4 linked regions of the Schizosaccharomyces pombe genome follow. The protein of the gene in region 2 interacts with the protein of the main gene of each other region in a biochemical or structural test. Each region holds a gene or a part of one and is shown on either strand. Other genes may lie near its edges. The genes, in order: uaf2, prp2, prp10 and bpb1.

Region 1 (3,281 bases), on a different chromosome or scaffold from region 2:
TGATCGATTGCTCTCATGGCAACTCAAGCAAGAATCATTTGAACCAACCAAAGGTCTCCAAGAGCATCGCCGAACAAATCAGAAATGGCGACTCTTCCATTGTTGGTGTTATGATTGAATCTCATATCAATGAAGGTCGTCAAGATGCTCCAATCCGTCCTGGCGTTAAGGATACTCTCAAGTACGGTGTCAGTATCACTGATGCTTGTGTTAGCTGGGAACAAACTGCTCCAATGCTAGACGATCTTGCTGAAGCTGTCCGTGCTCGCCGTCAAAACCAAAAAAGTAATTAAGACATATAAATGTTATATTCAGCAGTTTTAATTTTTTTAATTTTTGAAACTTATTTTTTCGTAACATACAACAACTGAACAATTTTGGCTTAAATACGGGTTCTATTTATTTTTTTTTGTTTTTTTTTTCTTATATCGTACACAGCTTCTACCAATAACACCTTCGTTTTTAAGAATTGCTGTGCAAGTTTTGCGAAATGTTTGATCGTTTCATATGTTTCTAATCGATCTCCTTTAGCTTGTAATCAGCCATAGGCACATTGGACACAAAATTTAAAACGTCTATGAGTACAGTTGTACAAAGATCAAGTTTATTAGTAAACAATAAAAGAATGCAACATCTATTTAAATAACCTAAATCACAACAAACTATAGCCAGAGATTAATCATAATAAACGAAGTAAAACCGTACAAAAGCAAACCAGAATCCAAAACAAATACATTCCATAAGTTGCTATTTAATTTTTGCGTTCAGCAGTTACACTGACCCATCGATTCGTGGAATCACTATTGGGCTCCTTTTTCATTTCTTCTGCTGCATTTAAGGCCAAATACTTTCTTTGTGCTAGTACCAAATCGCGTAAAAGCTGAGGACTTGGTTTTTTGGCATGCATAAAATTACAAAGGCCACCCCGCTGACATTCCGAAGTTTCGTGTTGCCGGCAACATGCCTCGCGAAAATCAGTTACAGGAGATAACTCGGCGTAGACTGGTCTTTGGGAATACCATCGGGAATTTAAATCATCAATAGCATTTTGGGCAGACTCTTCATACTTGAATCTTACATAAACATTTCCGACTAAGTGATCTCCAACATTGTCACAGACGACTAATTGTTCAACTTCACCGTATTTTGAAAACTCACAAAACATGTCCTCGTAGAATGCATCAAATTGTTCTGCAAGTTCACGCTGCGTGAACTTTTTGCCATTTGGTTCATGAATTGGGTTTTTATACATGTTGGGACATAAGATCGTTTGACTAAAATTTGGTTTGACATGTTTACGAGAGCAGCGTTCCCCATGTCTACAAGCTCCTATTTTATAATAGAATGAGCAATTGACTTTATCTTGCTCAGTACCATAAATACTTGCCAAATGACTTGCCATTTTTATATGGTGGTTATGAAATAAAGTGATCCAACATGATTCTAGTCTTATAATGGTGGCGTGCAACATCTCGTTAAGTTACGCAAATTTTCTAAATTATTCTTGCACACTATTGTCAGCAGTACTACACTACGCTATGATACACTACGTTGCGTATCACTATATGTCACATGTTCTAATTATATATCGTACCATGTATGATACGATATGGAGATTGATCTTAATGATAATCTATTAAGATCTATATTATCTGAATACTATAAATAGAGCTACTGCTGAACCTCGTTCCTCAGTTCAGTTATGAGCTATATTAGTGATAGGTAACATTATAACCCAGTTAATACAATACCTATACTCAGTTGCTACTTATATAACCTGTGTATTGTAATATAATAGATCACAAGGAAAACTCACCACAGTTCTACGTATCCTTAAATCAGATACCAAACTGCGTAGCTTACAACTATCCGATATACAGATATTCCCTTGTATTTCCCTAATTATATTCGAATTTGGAAAATATCAAGAATAAGTAGTTACTGTTATTAGACTGATGTGCCAACGATTCAAAAGAAAAAAAGATAAATTATTCTTAACACAGCACATTCCTTTTTTTTGCTCAGGAAATTTACTCGAGAACAAATTGTTTCCAAATGTCACGATGCCTGAGATGTACGCAAATGAACAACATCGGTAGTTTTACAATATTTAAAACAATCTATAGAGAATTTCTTTAAAAAGGACGGAAAATTTTTTCGAATGCAAAATTAATATGGAGTTGAGTATAATACGTAAGTTAGGGATTCAGTCATGCAGAGATAGTACTGTTCCAAACGCAATTAAGCTATTCCATTTTTCTGAAACGAATAAAACGCGGCTTAAGGTGTTAATGTAGCTTTCTTTTACGAGAGGGAAAGCATTCTCTAATTCAATTTTCACAAGTGAGGTTCGATTTCTTTCAAGATCGTTTCCGATTGCGTTAGGAGCTTTTTCTTGACTGTCTGTAAAGCAATACAGTTTGGTAAGGACTGCGTGACAGCCGAATAGGGCTATTACATGCATCGACTTTCCTTTTTCAAGAGAACCGTGAAACCAAGTTGCATTAACGTAAGCAGTTTTCGAAGAAGTAAAGGCATCGATACTATCAGCAATTAAAATCCCAGGACTATTTATTAGAAATACAAGAATTGCAAAGAACTTACCATAAATTGGGTAATGTAGGGATTTTGGCTTGAATCATATCCCCAGCAACATTAAACCCTTTGGGATTTTCATCACTGCTCAGTCCTTTTTTGATTAACATAAAATAATTGAACACCTTCCGTACCTGTGATTTGTGTTTCTAATCTCCCTGTGCCTACATAAAGCTTTTGCGAATCCTGAAGCATGCCTGAATGGATGCTACAGTAAATATGTGATTGATTTTCTGGCAAAGGAGTAATGTGTGAAATTGTTAAAGAGAGAGGTAGATTAAGAAGAAAATTCCATGTGCCATGATTTGTATCTGCTTCTTTATCAATTTTGCCAAGCAATGTATCAGATTTATACCACTGGGATAATTTTTCTTGACTAATGGATGTAAGATTGGTTCCTTTTAGTCCGCTTATCGGAATGAATTTTGATTTCTCAATTATTCCGCAACTTTCTTTCAGAAAGCTCTGAATCGAGTTAACAAGATTAATGAATTTATTTTCATCCCACTCAATTTCATCCATCTTAGTGATAGCAAACATATAGCTTGAAATAGATAAGCCATTCATCAATTGTAAAATGGAAGATATTCCATCAAGACCTTCCAAAGGATTCAGACAATCAATGGTGAAAATGGCTGTGTTCATTACTTGAAACAAACTTGAATGTTTTAGAAAATTATCTCGAG
Region 2 (4,094 bases):
CGAGCTCTTTAGAGAAATACTAATATGTCAAAAAAATATGGCGGTCAAATTTCGTTTGATCCACCAGCTAGGTTGGAAAAAGATCAAGTCGTCGCCAAAGTTGTGCAACTTAAAGGATCTGCGCTTTTTATGGTAGTAGAAAACAATGGACAGGAATTACTTGTTGAGATGCCTCCAAAGTATCGTAATAAAATATGGGTTAGGAGAAATGGGTTTGTAATAGTTGATAAATCTGAGTTTTTAGAGAAGGACAATAAAATTGACGGTACTATATTGTACGTGGTACAAAGCCCTTTAAAAAATTGGAAAAAACAAATTTATTGGTAAGAAATTCTCTTGAAATAACATTAGATGATTGTGCTAACTAGTTTAAAGGCCTAAAGAGTTTGCAGATGAATCGTTAAATCAAAACGATTCTGAGGAAAGCAGCAGTAGCGAGGAAGAATACGATAGTGACTAACAATTTACAAAAAATACATATATTAAGAATCCTTACAACGAACCTTGTAAATTAAACCGATGATAAAAAGCGTATAACGGGAAATGCTTGCAAGAATTACTTCATCCCACAATCGCTCATTACAATTGAGTACTTTGTTACACTTTAAACAATCCAATGAGAAATACTGATATTATTACCCTAACATTAAGATATTATACTAACCTTTTCATTGAAACTGAAATCACCATGCATTAGCTTTATAGCAATCCTCACCATAAAAAGCAATGACAATCGTGCGATCATTAAATTTACAACCTTTCATCTCTTCCATTGCGACCTCTGCAGATCTGATATCGGAGTATCGTACAAAAACCTTTCCAGTTCCTAATCCCGAGTTTCTAGTGCCAATACTACGAGGAATTTTTATATCTATAAGTGGTCCATAATTCGAAAATTGGGTCTTTACAGACTCATATATGTCTTCATATTCTTGTACATCCATAATTTCGTCCCCAGTAATTAAATTATGTAATTGTAAGACTCTAGTTGGAATAGATTGTGATGACGCCTTAGCAAGTTCTGTCAAAATGGCCATTCCATTAGACTTATCTATCATAGCTTGATTGAGACCTACACAAGCAAATTGTGCGTGTAACTTGTTCCCATACGTATCTTTACCATCAAGACCGCTGATAGCTACTTCCGCATCAGAAGGATTTTTAAATTCGCAAAAACAAAAACCCTTCGAAGATCCATCTGCAATATTTTTTATCAATTGAAAGCTTAATAAATCACCGAAAGGCTTAAGTAGCTCCACCACTTGATCTTCGCCTAAATTTAAAGGTAAATTTGAAATGTAAATTTTGTCTTTTGAATCTAAAACGTCGTTCTTGGCATAATCATCACTTCTTTTTTGAGAAACTTCGGGGGTAATTTGAGGGACGATGTAATTTTGAATTCTTTGAAATTTTAAAAAGACATCATTAGAATATGATTCGGACTGAAGCCCCCAGAGGAAGGTGGCATCTTCAGGAGTAGCGACCTCAAGAATAGCAAAGTTTTCTTCTTTACAGACGTTGACAGAGGAGAAATGCTTTGTCTCGGGTTTATGGTATGTAGTTGAAATAAATAGATCTTCGATAAATGATACAAAAGCATCTTCAACGAATTCGTTAGGAATTCCAGTAACCACTAGTCGACGAGCCTGTCTGCTAGCACCTGGTTGTAAGGGCGGAGGGGGAGCAATAATACTTCCTTCCGCAGAGCGAGCAAATTCTAGCAATTTCTCTGGATCAGTAACTGCAGCTCTAGGAGCGCCTGGCAAAGGAAAAACACCAGACATTTTCGCCTGGTCAGCAGTAACCAATTCATAACCAGGTGGTTTAATGTCCCATAAAGAGCGCTTCCTTTTCCACTGATTTATTGGTGTTACATCTCTCAATTGTTCGAGTTCCTGTTCGATAGACCTTACGCTTCTTTCTCGGCTGGGAGGTGGACTTCTACTTCTTCCGACAGATGAATAACGTAATGATCGAGGCTCATAATCATCATATCTTCTTTCTCTTCTTGGCCTCTCATCCTCTCGATAACTTCTTTCACGAGATTCTCTATGTCTACGAAAATCACTTTCGTCTCGGCGACGTCTTCTAGGTCGTTCAGAGCCATAATGGCCTCTCGGGTCTTCCCTTCCTATCCCACCCGAACCTCTTTCTCGTCTAGGTTCTTCATCGCGATAATCTCTGTGTCGCTTGGGTATCCGTGAAGAACCTGATGATAATCTGGAAGACAAATCCATGTTAGTGAATGAATATGAGGCTATTTAAAAAATTATTCAAAAAAGAAGGGAGGGAAGAAATTCGTTTATTAAAATGAACTCTTAAATTCTCCGGAAAAAACTTTGATGAAAGTAGGGAATACAAAAGTACAAATTCTAATGAAATGATATGCGCGTCAATGCTCTTGGATTCCTTGCTAAAAAAAATTTATAACATGAACAATAATAATTAACTTATTTTTTCTTTATGTGATACGCCCAAGGTTAGTCAAAAGTTTCGACTTACTAAGTTAAGGTAGTGAGAGTTTGTAGTAACTTCGCCAGCGTCGTAATTTTAAGCACAACGTTGTTGACTTACATTTTCTTTTTAGTTTCAAATAGCAACTTTCGCTAAACTTGCATTATAGACAACACTGTAACTTACGAATGCAGTTAAATTTTCAAAAGCATTTATTTAAACTGTTGTCCTTACCCTAGTACCATTCTCCTAAGTTTTAACGAATTTTTCTCTTTTGACCATAGTATTTGATTGTATGGCTTTCTTTTAAAGCAATCTTTAAAAATTTACAGCTGCCATGAAATTCAATAATTTTCGTTTTTTTTTTGCCAGTACATCCACGATAGATTTAATGTTTGTCTCATTTTATCCTTGAAATCCATGCTCTTAAATTGTATGTTCAATCTTTTAAAAATTTACTTTATTACACAAGAAGACGTTTACATTCATTCAAAATTTATTATTATTTATTTTCATACTAGCTTTCCATTGTTGTAAAAGCCGCTCTTTTTTTTAAATATTTGTTTACTTACGGCCATCATCTTGTGCACTTATTCAGTCGCGCTGCTGTGATATCTAAAAATTCATGAAACGATTCTTTAATGAAGCGTGCGACATAAACACTCCAGATAAATCTGGGGTAAACGAGAACAAGTTATGTTTCCCTCCCTTAAAAGTTGTATGTCAAGCACCAGAGACAACAGTTAAAGGACAAGTTGCCAATACTAATAAGCACAATGTATATTCTACTAAAAATTCAATGTATCTGCTGGGGTTCGAAGAAATCCTAAACACCGTCCTCGATTGTGAACCGCATATCTTTACTGATGATGAGTTGAGGGTTATTGAAAACTTTAAAGCTTTAGACTCGGATGAACGGTACTTGTTTGTTCGTCTATTCATGCGTAAAAGAAATAAATGGTTCCGCGTGGGCCATTTGACTTATCCAGATTGCAAGGATGTTATTGCCTGCTGTAAGCAGCTTGTTCTGAAAAATTTTTTTGAAGATGAATCACTCATGTCAACTGAAGAAATAATTGAAATTCTATCTCTCGATGAATTGCGTTCGTTAGCTAGACAAACGAAGGTGTGTGGAAAAAGCAGGTCTGAAATTTCAAAAGAAATCATTTTCCTATCTAAAAGACAATCAGTACTACATTGTAATGGTCAACAATTTTTGTCCTTTGATGCTTTTGGTGTGATGCATAAGCAAGAGTCGTTTCTTCGGAAGCAACTATTATATCAATGCAAATCCTGTGTGAAACCAAAGAAAATTTTAGTAGACCTATTTCATCGAATTAATATTGTGTACTTTCGTTCGTCCATTTATGATGAACAATCGCTTACGTCTTTAATATTAGCACGCCTTAACAAATTTTCCTACCCGAATTACGTTTTATCGCGAACTTCAAACGTCTTTAATTGTCGTGCTCAATGCCTTGAATACGTTGAGGTTTTAGAACTTTCAAAAAACTTGGTTCCAATCTTTGAAAACACTGCCGCTTCGGATAAGGAAGCACTCGAACAAGCGTTGAACAGTTTTTTTGAAATATATCCTATATGGTCGACATATCTAAATGAAGACATTAGGGAATTTTGGG
Region 3 (6,054 bases), on a different chromosome or scaffold from region 2:
TTATCCCATGCTTAGTTGTTTCGGCTGCTGTTGGACAGAGTGGTCTTAATCAAGTACTGAACGCTAGTCAGGTTTGTCTTTCTATTTTATTACCTTTTCTTACCTTTCCACTTGTAATGTTCACTTGCTCTCGAAAAGTTATGCGTGTTGTTAGTGATTCTACCAATGAAGAAACTGGACAATTGATAAGAGAAACTCACGATTATAGCTTAGGATGGACTATGACTATTGTTACATGGGCAATTTGGCTCTTTTTGACTGCTTTAAATTTATTACTCATTGTTTGGTTGGGCATGGGAGTCTCCTTCTAAATAAATTTTAGAACGCTCGTATTTTTCAAACGGCATGGTTATATGCGTACGTTCCTTTTAACATTTCCCCATAGCTTTCCTTTAATTACTACACTTAGTCCGAAATTTATTTATGTAGCATTTGCAAACCGCGTCAAGTAATTTGCGATGCTCTGTTGAAACCAAAGTTATTAACATGAAGCTGAGACATGTATACAAGTACTATCACAAATGTTTTCATGTACTATTATAATGAATATTTTTTAATAATTAACAAAAAGGGTACTTAGATGCAAATATGTAAAGTTTTCATATCGTAGTTGTTGAATTGATCGTCATCAACGTGGGGATAGTATGGTACCATAGCATCTGCACTTTGTACATAAGCAGAATTGTAGCTTGTCCAATAAGTGTTACGAACTTTACGACTCGGATGAAATAATCCTTGTACTAAATATGCCATAATTGGACCTACACCGATACAATTTCGGATGCCATCAATGCCTTCCCGAACGGCATTGATAACATGGGGCGATTCCTCCAAGATATTTGGCCATAGGATATTAAGTAAATGAATCATTGCGTCTTCAACACCCAAACCAACACAACCAAGAGACAAGTGCTTGATTACAGAAGCGGCGGTTTGCCGATGCACGGCATCGCGATCCATAAGCGCATCGGCTAAAAGAGGTGTAATGGCATAAACATAGTCGCGTGCTTGCTCACCAATGTATTCAAACATAAACGCTAATGACTTTAAAACACCATTCTGCACGTTCATTTCTGGAGTTCTGTAGTCTGCCATAAGTGCTGGTACGACTGTAAAAGGCATACATGTTTCTGCCACGATAGCAATAGCTACAGTAGTACATACACGATTTTGGCGTTCCTGGACTTTGAGATTATTTAACAAAGTAGCCAGCACGTCTTGAGGTCCGATGGCTTTTGATATATAACCAAATGTGTTGACAGCAGCACGGCGAATACTCTTTTTATGTGCTTTAAGCATATCAATTAATTCAAAACAAATACGCATCCATTCCCTAGCGGACACGTATTCCGATCCACGATCTGCAATTTTGCCAACGAGATCAATTGTATTCTCTTGGACCTTTTCATGACGGTTCCTCAAGATGGGAGTCAATCTTGGTAACAAATCACGAATAGGAGGTTGCATTGAAGACATACCAACAACGGAAACAATAGCTTTAATAGCACCAAGAATTGAGCCCAGAACCTCTGGATATTCTTCACCAAGATACTCGTACAAAACAACACCAAGTTTACGCATTAATGCTTCTTCACCACATGCCTTTAAAACAATGGTTATACTGGAAACTAAGTCGGCAGCTTGTTCGCGGACATTAGCAGACTTATTGTTTAAACGATACAATATAGTAGAAACGATCTGAGGAAGATACGGCTTACATCTTGTACCAAGAGCATTAACAACAGTACTAAAGCAAGTTAAAATAACTTTCTCCTCAACGGATTGCTCCTGAAAAGCAAATAAAACACCATCCAACAGTAGCTCTTCCAATCTTTCGTCAATCTCGGAAACACCTAAAGAGCCAATCACTTTATCGACAGTTTCAGCGGTCATCTTCCGATATGGCTCGGATTCATCTTTAAAGTTGTTGACGACCCTTTCAACAATTTGACGGGAACCTACTTGTTGAGCAAGAACAACTGTAGTTTCAACAACTTGCTTGTAGCTGCGACGATCTGATGCCATCCTTCGGGACCAAAAACAGTGAAAAAATTCAGGCAACACATCAGTTCTCAAATACTCAGGTGTTACTCCATCAGTAGATGCACATTGTGATACAACTTTGAGAACTATCTTTTTCATTTCTTCGTCTGGTGAATTAAATTCACGTAGAAGAATTTTCATGATACGCCGTGTAAAATGACTTGCATACTCAGGTTCCATAAGAGGGATAATAAAACCGGTTGCTTTTAAAAAGGCGGCTAAGCTTTTACCACGATGCCTTTGGACTCCTGACCATAATGGCTTTAAAACGCTGTCAAAAGCTTCAATACCGTAAGGAGTAGCAGCTTCAGCTAAAGCCGATAAGGACAAAGCTGTCATAATTCGTACTTTTTGTTGTTCATCTTCAAGGCCGTGACCAATACAATCAACTAAATTTTTTAAGTGTGGTAAAATAGAGCATCCTAATAACAGAGCAATCTGTTGAATAATCCGAACGCCAGTATGCCTGGCTTGCCATGATTTCTTACTTCTACAAACAGCTTTTAAAAAAGGTAAAAGAGCCGGCACGCCTAGTGCAGAGGCAACAACCGAAAAGGCACGGGCTGTGGTGTTTCGGACATATTCGTCGACATGATCAATGTCAGGTCTCATTGTAGCAATCATATGAGCCAAGCCGGAAGCTTTAGCTAAGTTACTAATGATTTCCCGACCTTCAGCACGTGCATAGTAATCTTCATCAATAAGAAGGGGTTCAATAACTACGAGAATTTTATGAGTAAAAGGGCGAACCAGATCATCCAATTTGTATAATATACGATCAATAACCTTAACTAAAAGATGGCGCTCCTGATCTTCCAGTGTTCGTTCCATTAACAACGGAAGAATCTGATTAAATAAAGCAGCTGCACCAAAGTCGCGAGCTTGATCCGTAAGCTGGCGTAATGCACTCTTACGCATGGGAGGAGTACCATTTTTTACTTTCAGAAGTAATCTCAAAATTTTACGTTCACGAAGTTCCGCAATTGTAAGCTTGGCCTCGTCCTCCACCTTGAGTAACTTGCCAAAATATTTAACATCTTCTTGCTTAAAAAAAGCTAAATCACCTACACCGGGTATTTCTGTAGGCAATGCAGCTGGTAATTCTTTTTCTAAAGGAAGCTCTTGCTCTTGTGGAACGTGATATGTATCGAGCGTAGTACCTTTTTGAAGTAGTTCAGGATGAATTGATTCTAAATATCCAGGAGGAGGCTCCAAAATAGCATAGCCTTCTGACGGCAAAAGCTCATTTAACTCTTCTTCAGTTAATAAACGGACAGGAGGTCGTAATTTTTCTTCTACTACATTTACTTCCTTATTAATAAGATCTTCAGAAATTCCGTTTTCTATAACATGTTCAGATATAGTGAAGTTTTCAGGAGCTTTGTCCCAACGTGATCTACGCTTAGTAGTGGAAACCTGCGTAACGCTAGGTGGAGCCTGATCCCAACGAGAGCGTTTAGGCTTCTGAGATATTTCCGTATTATTAAGCTCTAGTTCTCTTTTTTTGTCCGATATGCTTTCCTCCTCCTCCACCTCTTTTAGTGTTCCTTCACGACGTCTTTGATTTAATTCCATATGAACTCGTCGCTCTTCCTTTTCTAATTCAACCTGCCGCATAACCTCCGCATAAGATCTTCCATTGCTCTGTGTCCCATCAGGTTGAAAAGCATCTACGCGGGTTGGAGTAAGCTGTCTATCATAACGCTGCTTTTGATAATCTGACTCGCGATCCTGAATTTGCTTTTTTGACTGTCTCTCTTGCATAGGGTCATAACTTTCATCAGCGTATTCATTTAGTAGTTCCTTAGGTGCTTCATATTGACGCACTAAACGATAACTATCATTAACATCGTTTGTACGTTTATAATCGTCTTCATCCTGAGAGATATCATTGCGCACGTCAATTGCGGAGTCATATTCTTCTTTTGGGTTACTGGACTTAAAAAGATGAGCATTATATTGTAAATCATTAGAATCCTGGGTACCTTCAATATTTACACTTCCATTTGTCGACGAATTCTTCGCTGCCTCTTTTTGTCTTCGCAAAAGTTCTCTTTCAGCACGAAGCCTTTCTATTTCCACATCTTCTACTTTATTTAGGTTAGTAACATCCATTTTGAACATTTTATAAGGATACGTACCAGTTGACATGTTGATGGCGAAGAAATGCTTTCATGTTGCGCGTCTTATACTCATTTAAATATACTCAAAGCATTCTAAGCTTCGTTATCAATATTTTAAAGTACAATACAGTAACTCGTTTTGTAGAATAACGATAAGATTAACGTGTCTTATTTAGTTTAACCCTCTTTATTAAGATTTATTTGCGAAAGAAATATATACTATCGAAAAAATTAGTATGAGGAATGATATTGAAATATCGAGGTATCATATTGCAACAGCTCAAGCTTTTAGCACCCCCCCCCTCTGCTATTGTAGATCTTGTAAGCGTTGCTGCAATTAATTGATAATAGACAAGCGTCTTACGGTTTCTACTTGTATATCCTAATATTTGGTGGAACCTTTACAAATTGATGTAAAATCTCTTTGGAAAAATTCAGCACTATATCGCTTTAATGTGAAGTTTGGCTTATAAGGAATGTAATTAACGATGATGGTTGCTAGGACACGCAGTCAAAAAAGAAAGCTTGAAGAGATTAATAACCAGAAGAAGATTAAAACAAAAAAAAAGGCCACCGGGCAACAGACTTCTAATACGAAAAATCTGCGTGATGTTAAAAAGAAAGGTAAACAATTAGCGTATGTTCCGAGGACGTCACCAAGGAAATCATATAAAAATGGGGAATATGTTTTAGCAAAGATGAGTAGCTTCCCATGGTGGCCAGCCAGAGTAGCGAGCCAAAAATCAATACCCACTGAGGTACGCGAACGATTGAAACGAAATTTTCGAATGGACAATGGAATATTTGTTCAGTTTCTTCCTTCAAGAGATTACGCTATTATTTCTTCTTCAAATGTTTTGCCCTTAACTGTTGATGAATCAAGGTTTATTTTGGACCATGATTTATCGACAAAGTATATCCAAAAGACGGTAGGTCTCATCATTGCTTCCGTAAAGAGAAAAGTTTCTTTTTCTGATGTCGAAGAGGATGAGTTTGAACCAGAGAATACTCGTAAAAAACTTCAAAAGCCCATCGAGAAACCAAAAAAGGAAAAGATAGAAGCCACACCTAAAATTGACGGGGGTAAAAGGTTAAAAAATGAGAAATCGTCGGCAGAAATTTCTCAAACATCGAAGCAACGACCTTCACGTAGGTCAGCTCGAGTTAGGATGGCTACAGACAACGCTCAGAAATCCCCATCTCCAATTCCTTCTCCCAAGAAAACAGCCAAAAAAAGAGTAAGGTTTGCCGGTTCTTTAGAGGAATTACCAAAATTTTCACTTGAATATCAATTGGCTCAGCCTATAAGTACTGTAGATATGTATGCTCAAGTTCATTATATTCGATTTAATACTCTTTTATATTACCGCTACCAACTACAAGAAATCCTACTGTCATATAATCATTATCCTCAAGAATCGGATATGTCTCATGTGCACCAAATATTGGAGATGATTGAGAATTTCAGCGCAATAAATTCTGAACTATTAGAATCAACCAAGTTGTATTCACTTTTTACTTTGCTTGTTAAATTAAGCGACATACCGTTGGATGAAAAATATGACTTTTCTTCACGATTTTCGACTCTTCTCCTTCAATTCCAAGCATTCGTTCAGCCCAAAACCATGACAAGTAATGTATCTACAGCGCCCATTGGAAAGAATGCTCAAGTGAACACAGAAGCTGCCAGACCATCTGTCATCACTACCTAACTTTTGATCATACATTCATATGCTTTTGTTATCGAATTACATAACTAATCTTGTTTACATTTAATGTTACGATAATATTTGCTTCCAACATTTTCATTAATATAGAACGCATTATTAGCGCGACTCAATGTGTTTATGGTACAAATCGTTACAATACGTTATCCTAGTATGTAAGC
Region 4 (4,620 bases), on a different chromosome or scaffold from region 2:
CGAAACGTTGGATAGCAAATTTTCTAACTGGAATTTACCGCACAGGCTAGTACTATGGACTTTACGGTGTATGAAAAATTTAAACAATATTACAGCTACCAGTTTCCTCTTAATGCATGTAAGTCTATTCTTAGGTAGTCCTATGAACTTGCAGCCGGTGGAACCTACGCAAGAGGACATTGCCAGCGTTTCTCGTTTTATAGCGACAATATATTCGATATGTATGTTGATATTCAGTGAAGACAAGGAACAGTCTTCTATTAGTTTTCAGGAATTTGTTTCATTCAGCCCTCTATCAAGCACTTTAAACTTTGCTTTATTTCACCAAGCAGCAAGTAAGCTGAAGACAGGTAAAAGCCCACTAAGCATTGTTACAGATAAAACTACTGCCTCATTAACCTATAAAATGTACAAAGACCTCACGAACGATTACTCTGATATTTACATGATAATGGATATTTGGAAACCAAAAAGGAAACGCAAGACTAAAAAAGATCAATCATAGATATACATTTTTGTCACATGAATTACAATCAAACAAAATTTTTTGGGAAACACGTTATAAAATTAATGAATTAAATTCAAAACATATATCGAATACTTTTAAACCGTAAAAATTAAAAGAAGCAATTGGCTTGCATAAACCTTTTTTTTCAACCTCATTATAATATGCGACAAACTATTAACAAATACATATATTCTATCGATTGGAATATCCGTTTGGCATTGAAACACCGGGTGGGGCATTTAAATTAGAGGACTCCGACGTATTGTATGAGCCTGGTGCACCAGGGGGAGCTGTTGCACCAGGTATACCAGGCATAGCAGGAACAGCGGGATATCCAGGAAATGGTGCGGGCATGCCAGGAGGCAAAGCCATTCCAGGTGGAACCATGGGTGGTTGAGACATATTCAGGTTCGGCATACCAGGCGCCCCAGGAATTGGTGGCAGAGGCACACCAGGAGGAGCGAATGTAGTAGGTGGAAGGGGAGCAGAAGTACCAGGGATGAATGGCGCATTTTGTGAAGGTACTAAATTAGAAGGCTGTACAGCGGACTGTTGAGTTGGCTGCTGCCAAGGAGGTAGTGAACTTGGATTCATAGAAAGGGCAGGGGCAGATTGTGGAGCAGCAGGTTGCTGCCAAGGGGCTGGATTTGAAGGGGCGGCTGATGAAGCTGGTTTGGCCCAAGGAGCAGGACTAGAAGTGCTGCTAGATACCGAAGTAGACGCAGCAGCCCAAGGTGGAGGGTGACCTGCTTGAGGACTAGCAGCTCCACTTTCGGAAAATTCAATAGATTTTTGGGGTTCACCATTACCATTGGAAATAGCCGATCCCCCACCAAGCTCTTGCATAAGACTTTGATATTCCCGATCAGCAGTAGAATCAGCCATTGGAGGTTGTTGATCTCTAACAGGACAGTCGCGAGCAATATGGCCAATACTTCCGCAATGCCTACAAACAATGTTCATTGTGTGATTGATACGTTCAGGACAATCGAAACGACGATGACCCACGTTACCGCAATTTTGGCAAACCTGATTTTCATCGTCTCGTAAAGTACCATTAAGAGTAGCAAGCTGACGAAGTTGATTTCTTTTTAAGTCGTTTTGGCCTTCTGGAACAGAAGCGGCCGTTTGGATAACATTATCAATTAGTTTTATGGCATGGTTAATTTTATCTTCAGAGTCTGCGGTAACAAGGCAGTGTAAATCTTCTTCCATATTACCTCGGACAGATGGATCGCTTCTTCCTTTTCCTTCTTTAACACTTCCTTTACCACGAATAGCAATTTTGGCTCCAGATTTTGCTTCCATATCCTTCAAAGTGTGGCCACGAGGACCGATCAGGAGGCCGATGAAATTAATCTCTGGATAATCCTTAACGGGAACGTAAACCTTCTCTTGTGTTTTTGCAGGTCTTCTATAATCACTGGGAGCACGAAAGCCTGGCACCATTTTCATTGCGCGCTCAATAATCCGGTGACGCTCATCCTCTAGCTTTTTCTTGTAACGGATTTCTCGAGTATTCAATCGGCGACCATGGTTATCGTATTGCGGAGGAGGAGAAGGGGACCGTTCACGGTGATGAGGAACAACATCACCGGTTCTAAGCTTTTGCGTAATTTCTTCCAATCGAACATTCAAAGAGTATAATTCTAATTGCTCCATAGTCATACAGGATTTAACGGCAGTTTCCAGCTCCATTTGGCTTGGTAACATTTCCTCAATCGGGGTTGGATGACCCCAATAATGTTTTCTATAAGCTCGACGACCTCGACCATCGTGATAGCCATCCGGTCTATGATCCATTCTGGAATTGCTTTTATAAGAATCGCGATAACCATTACTCATTCCATTTGCATCAGGCAATGGTGGTAAAGAATCTGGTTTTTCGTCAAACCGCCTCCTTCCTAAGGGAGTATTATTCGAACCTAAAAATATTAATAATTTGCACTAATAATCTCTTAAAACACTTACCAGTAGACCCTACTGACCTTGAATTCAGCATTTTAATAAGACTGCTAGATCGAAGACGGGCGTTGGTTCTTGGTGAAAAGTAACGACTGAAATGTAGGAGGCAAGGAGGCAATAAAGTAACGGACGAAACTGAAGATACGACACGTTTGAGACAAACGAGTGCAATAACCGTCTCGCTAAAAAAGAATTAAATGTATAATTACTTGAATAAATTTTCAAATGAGACTATTCAGTCAATGATAAGTTCAACCGAAATTTTTTTTTTCTAACAATACAGCAAGCAGTTCTTGCACTTGTTTCGATATTCAGTTATTGATCTTAAATCGGTTTAGTGTATCTCTATTCATTGCGCTAAATAAATCTAACGTACTTTATTATAAACAGCTTTAAGCATCATTGCAATTTGGATTTACAGAAACGAGACTGGCGGATTACGGCTTAGATATGATATGGAAACATTCATCTTTCTTAAAAAATAATCAGACAATGATGGAGAGTTCCACCTCTGTTTGGTAGGGTAAAGCGTTGATTCTTCTTTTTTTTTGCGATTAAAACATACTTTAGAGTTCGCTAAATAATAATTCAAGCATCAAAGTTAAGCGAATAGGAATTGTAAAAGAGAATATTGTAATATTATATTGTAATACCAGTATACAGGCATATCCTTATTTTGTATCGAACAATAGATAGGAGGTTTTTAGAGGGTGAGTAATGCTCAAGAATAAGTCAGTAGAAAAATTTTTGATATTTTTCTGAATTTGGTTCATAATTAGATGGAAGTGCAAACTCTTATTGCCCATGACCATTTTGTTGAGCTTGGGTTGGAATTATAGCGAAATCCAGCAAGGTTTACATTGAGAAACCAGAATCGAAATTAAAAGAAATTGGTTTTGGAATGATAAATAGTACTTATGTTTTAGTTGATAATGAGAAACATTTTTGTAAAACAGGCTGCGGGCATACAATCTTTTTTTCATATTCCAAGCGACATTCCACCACTCGGCATGCAAGCCTTCCTTATCTGATCAGATAATTTGCCTAGAGAAAAATTTACTCATGAAGAAAAATAAGGATTCAGTGTGTTTAGTGCTTTGTTTAAATTCTATTAATTTAATTCTTTACTATCAAACTCAAAAATGCATGATACCATAACATCTTAGGAACATTGGAAAGGATCTGATTTTCATTAAGAAACGTTTTTGCCAAATGTTCATACAACTCCAATATGACCCGTTTTACTGTGTGAAAGAAGCAGAGTCAGGATCGTAATTTTTTCGTAAATGAATCAAGCTGCTTGCATTTTATCAAACCACAGAACCTAGTGTGAAAGTTCGAATTTGGGGAATACCGCACTTCACCATATGCTGAAAAAAGTCGTTAACAAAAATTGATTCCAAAAGATGTCCGGTACGCTGAGTGATCGAAACAACCGGCTCGTTAGAAAGGCATTCCAGTAACTCGTTAGATCTCTTATAAAAATTTGATTCCCAATTTTTTTACGGCTCGTTCCGTCTGTTTCATCCATTTCCCACATTCATTCGCATTTTGGTATTGAGCCGTTAGTTGATATAATTCTGGATTTTTCGTTTGGTAAGACGCTAATGCATCTTTAAGTTTTGGTTGGGTTAATTTAAACTAATTATCTGAAATTTATAGTTATCATTCCATTTTTTCGGTCGACTGCGAAAATATTTACTTTTGTCGTTTTATAGATAGCTTGGATTGTATTTGTTGGGAATCAATTTAGATAAATATTTTGGATAGTCTTTGGTGCATTGTCGAATTTTCTCAATTCTGTTTTGGATTTCCAATTTTAACACAGTTCAGCTTCATCGATATTCATTCTTTTTTTTCGGTTCAATTTTGCAAATACGCTACATATTATCATAATAATGCCAATTTCTAGTCATTCTCATAGTGGGCAGTATGTTTGCTTTTAATTTGTAAACAAGCGATACATGTTGATGTGTTTGCCTGAGATTTTACAGATGAATTTTTTTTTTCTTTTATTCAGTGACAAACCACTAACTTTTATTGAAGATTTTGTTTGCATGCCCAGGGCAAACTAGAAGATGTAATTCAGGAAGCCATACAACAAGGTTTTCAATCGTTTTCATTTACAGAACATACCCCTAGAGATC

What was found.
Region 1: the proteins of prp2 (region 2) and uaf2 form a complex in vitro, tested with the Schizosaccharomyces pombe proteins (one study listed by BioGRID).
Region 3: the proteins of prp2 (region 2) and prp10 form a complex in vitro, tested with the Schizosaccharomyces pombe proteins (one study listed by BioGRID).
Region 4: the proteins of prp2 (region 2) and bpb1 form a complex in vitro, tested with the Schizosaccharomyces pombe proteins (one study listed by BioGRID).

The regions. Positions count from the first base shown.
Region 1 is NC_003424.3:5,323,732-5,327,012, reverse strand, and holds uaf2 (U2 auxiliary factor small subunit Uaf2), read right to left. Parts: upstream 1,420-3,281; 5' UTR 1,403-1,419; coding exon 752-1,402; 3' UTR 578-751; downstream 1-577. Other genes in the region: SPOM_SPAP8A3.07C (phospho-2-dehydro-3-deoxyheptonate aldolase), read left to right, coding at 1-293; ski7 (ski complex-interacting GTPase), read right to left, coding at 2,207-2,567, 2,605-2,689, 2,730-3,281.
Region 2 is NC_003423.3:1,011,698-1,015,791, reverse strand, and holds prp2 (U2 small nuclear RNA auxiliary factor small subunit, U2AF-59), read right to left. Parts: upstream 2,483-4,094; 5' UTR 2,238-2,482; coding exon 684-2,237; 3' UTR 613-683; downstream 1-612. Other genes in the region: tif1102 (translation initiation factor eIF1A-like), read left to right, coding at 25-323, 376-460; fan1 (fanconi-associated nuclease 1), read left to right, coding at 3,080-4,094. UniProt on the Schizosaccharomyces pombe protein: Necessary for the splicing of pre-mRNA. The SF1-U2AF59-U2AF23 complex has a role in the recognition of the branch site (5'-UACUAAC-3'), the pyrimidine tract and the 3'-splice site at the 3'-end of introns.
Region 3 is NC_003424.3:4,332,594-4,338,647, forward strand, and holds prp10 (U2 snRNP-associated protein SF3B1), read right to left. Parts: upstream 4,212-6,054; 5' UTR 4,195-4,211; coding exon 4,185-4,194; intron 4,134-4,184; coding exon 4,029-4,133; exon of another isoform or gene 3,963-4,028; coding exon 577-3,962; 3' UTR 542-576; downstream 1-541. Other genes in the region: pdt1 (Nramp family Mn(2+) transporter), read left to right, coding at 1-311; pdp3 (PWWP domain-containing protein), read left to right, coding at 4,655-5,878. UniProt on the Schizosaccharomyces pombe protein: Contacts pre-mRNA on both sides of the branch site early in spliceosome assembly.
Region 4 is NC_003421.2:555,696-560,315, forward strand, and holds bpb1 (zinc finger-splicing factor Bpb1), read right to left. Parts: upstream 2,554-4,620; 5' UTR 2,511-2,553; coding exon 2,480-2,510; exon of another isoform or gene 2,434-2,479; coding exon 701-2,433; 3' UTR 546-700; downstream 1-545. Other genes in the region: XP-G family protein ast1, read left to right, coding at 1-505; SPOM_SPCC1672.01 (histidinol-phosphatase), read left to right, coding at 4,372-4,403, 4,520-4,620. UniProt on the Schizosaccharomyces pombe protein: Necessary for the splicing of pre-mRNA. The BPB1(SF1)-u2af59-u2af23 complex has a role in the recognition of the branch site (5'-UACUAAC-3'), the pyrimidine tract and the 3'-splice site at the 3'-end of introns.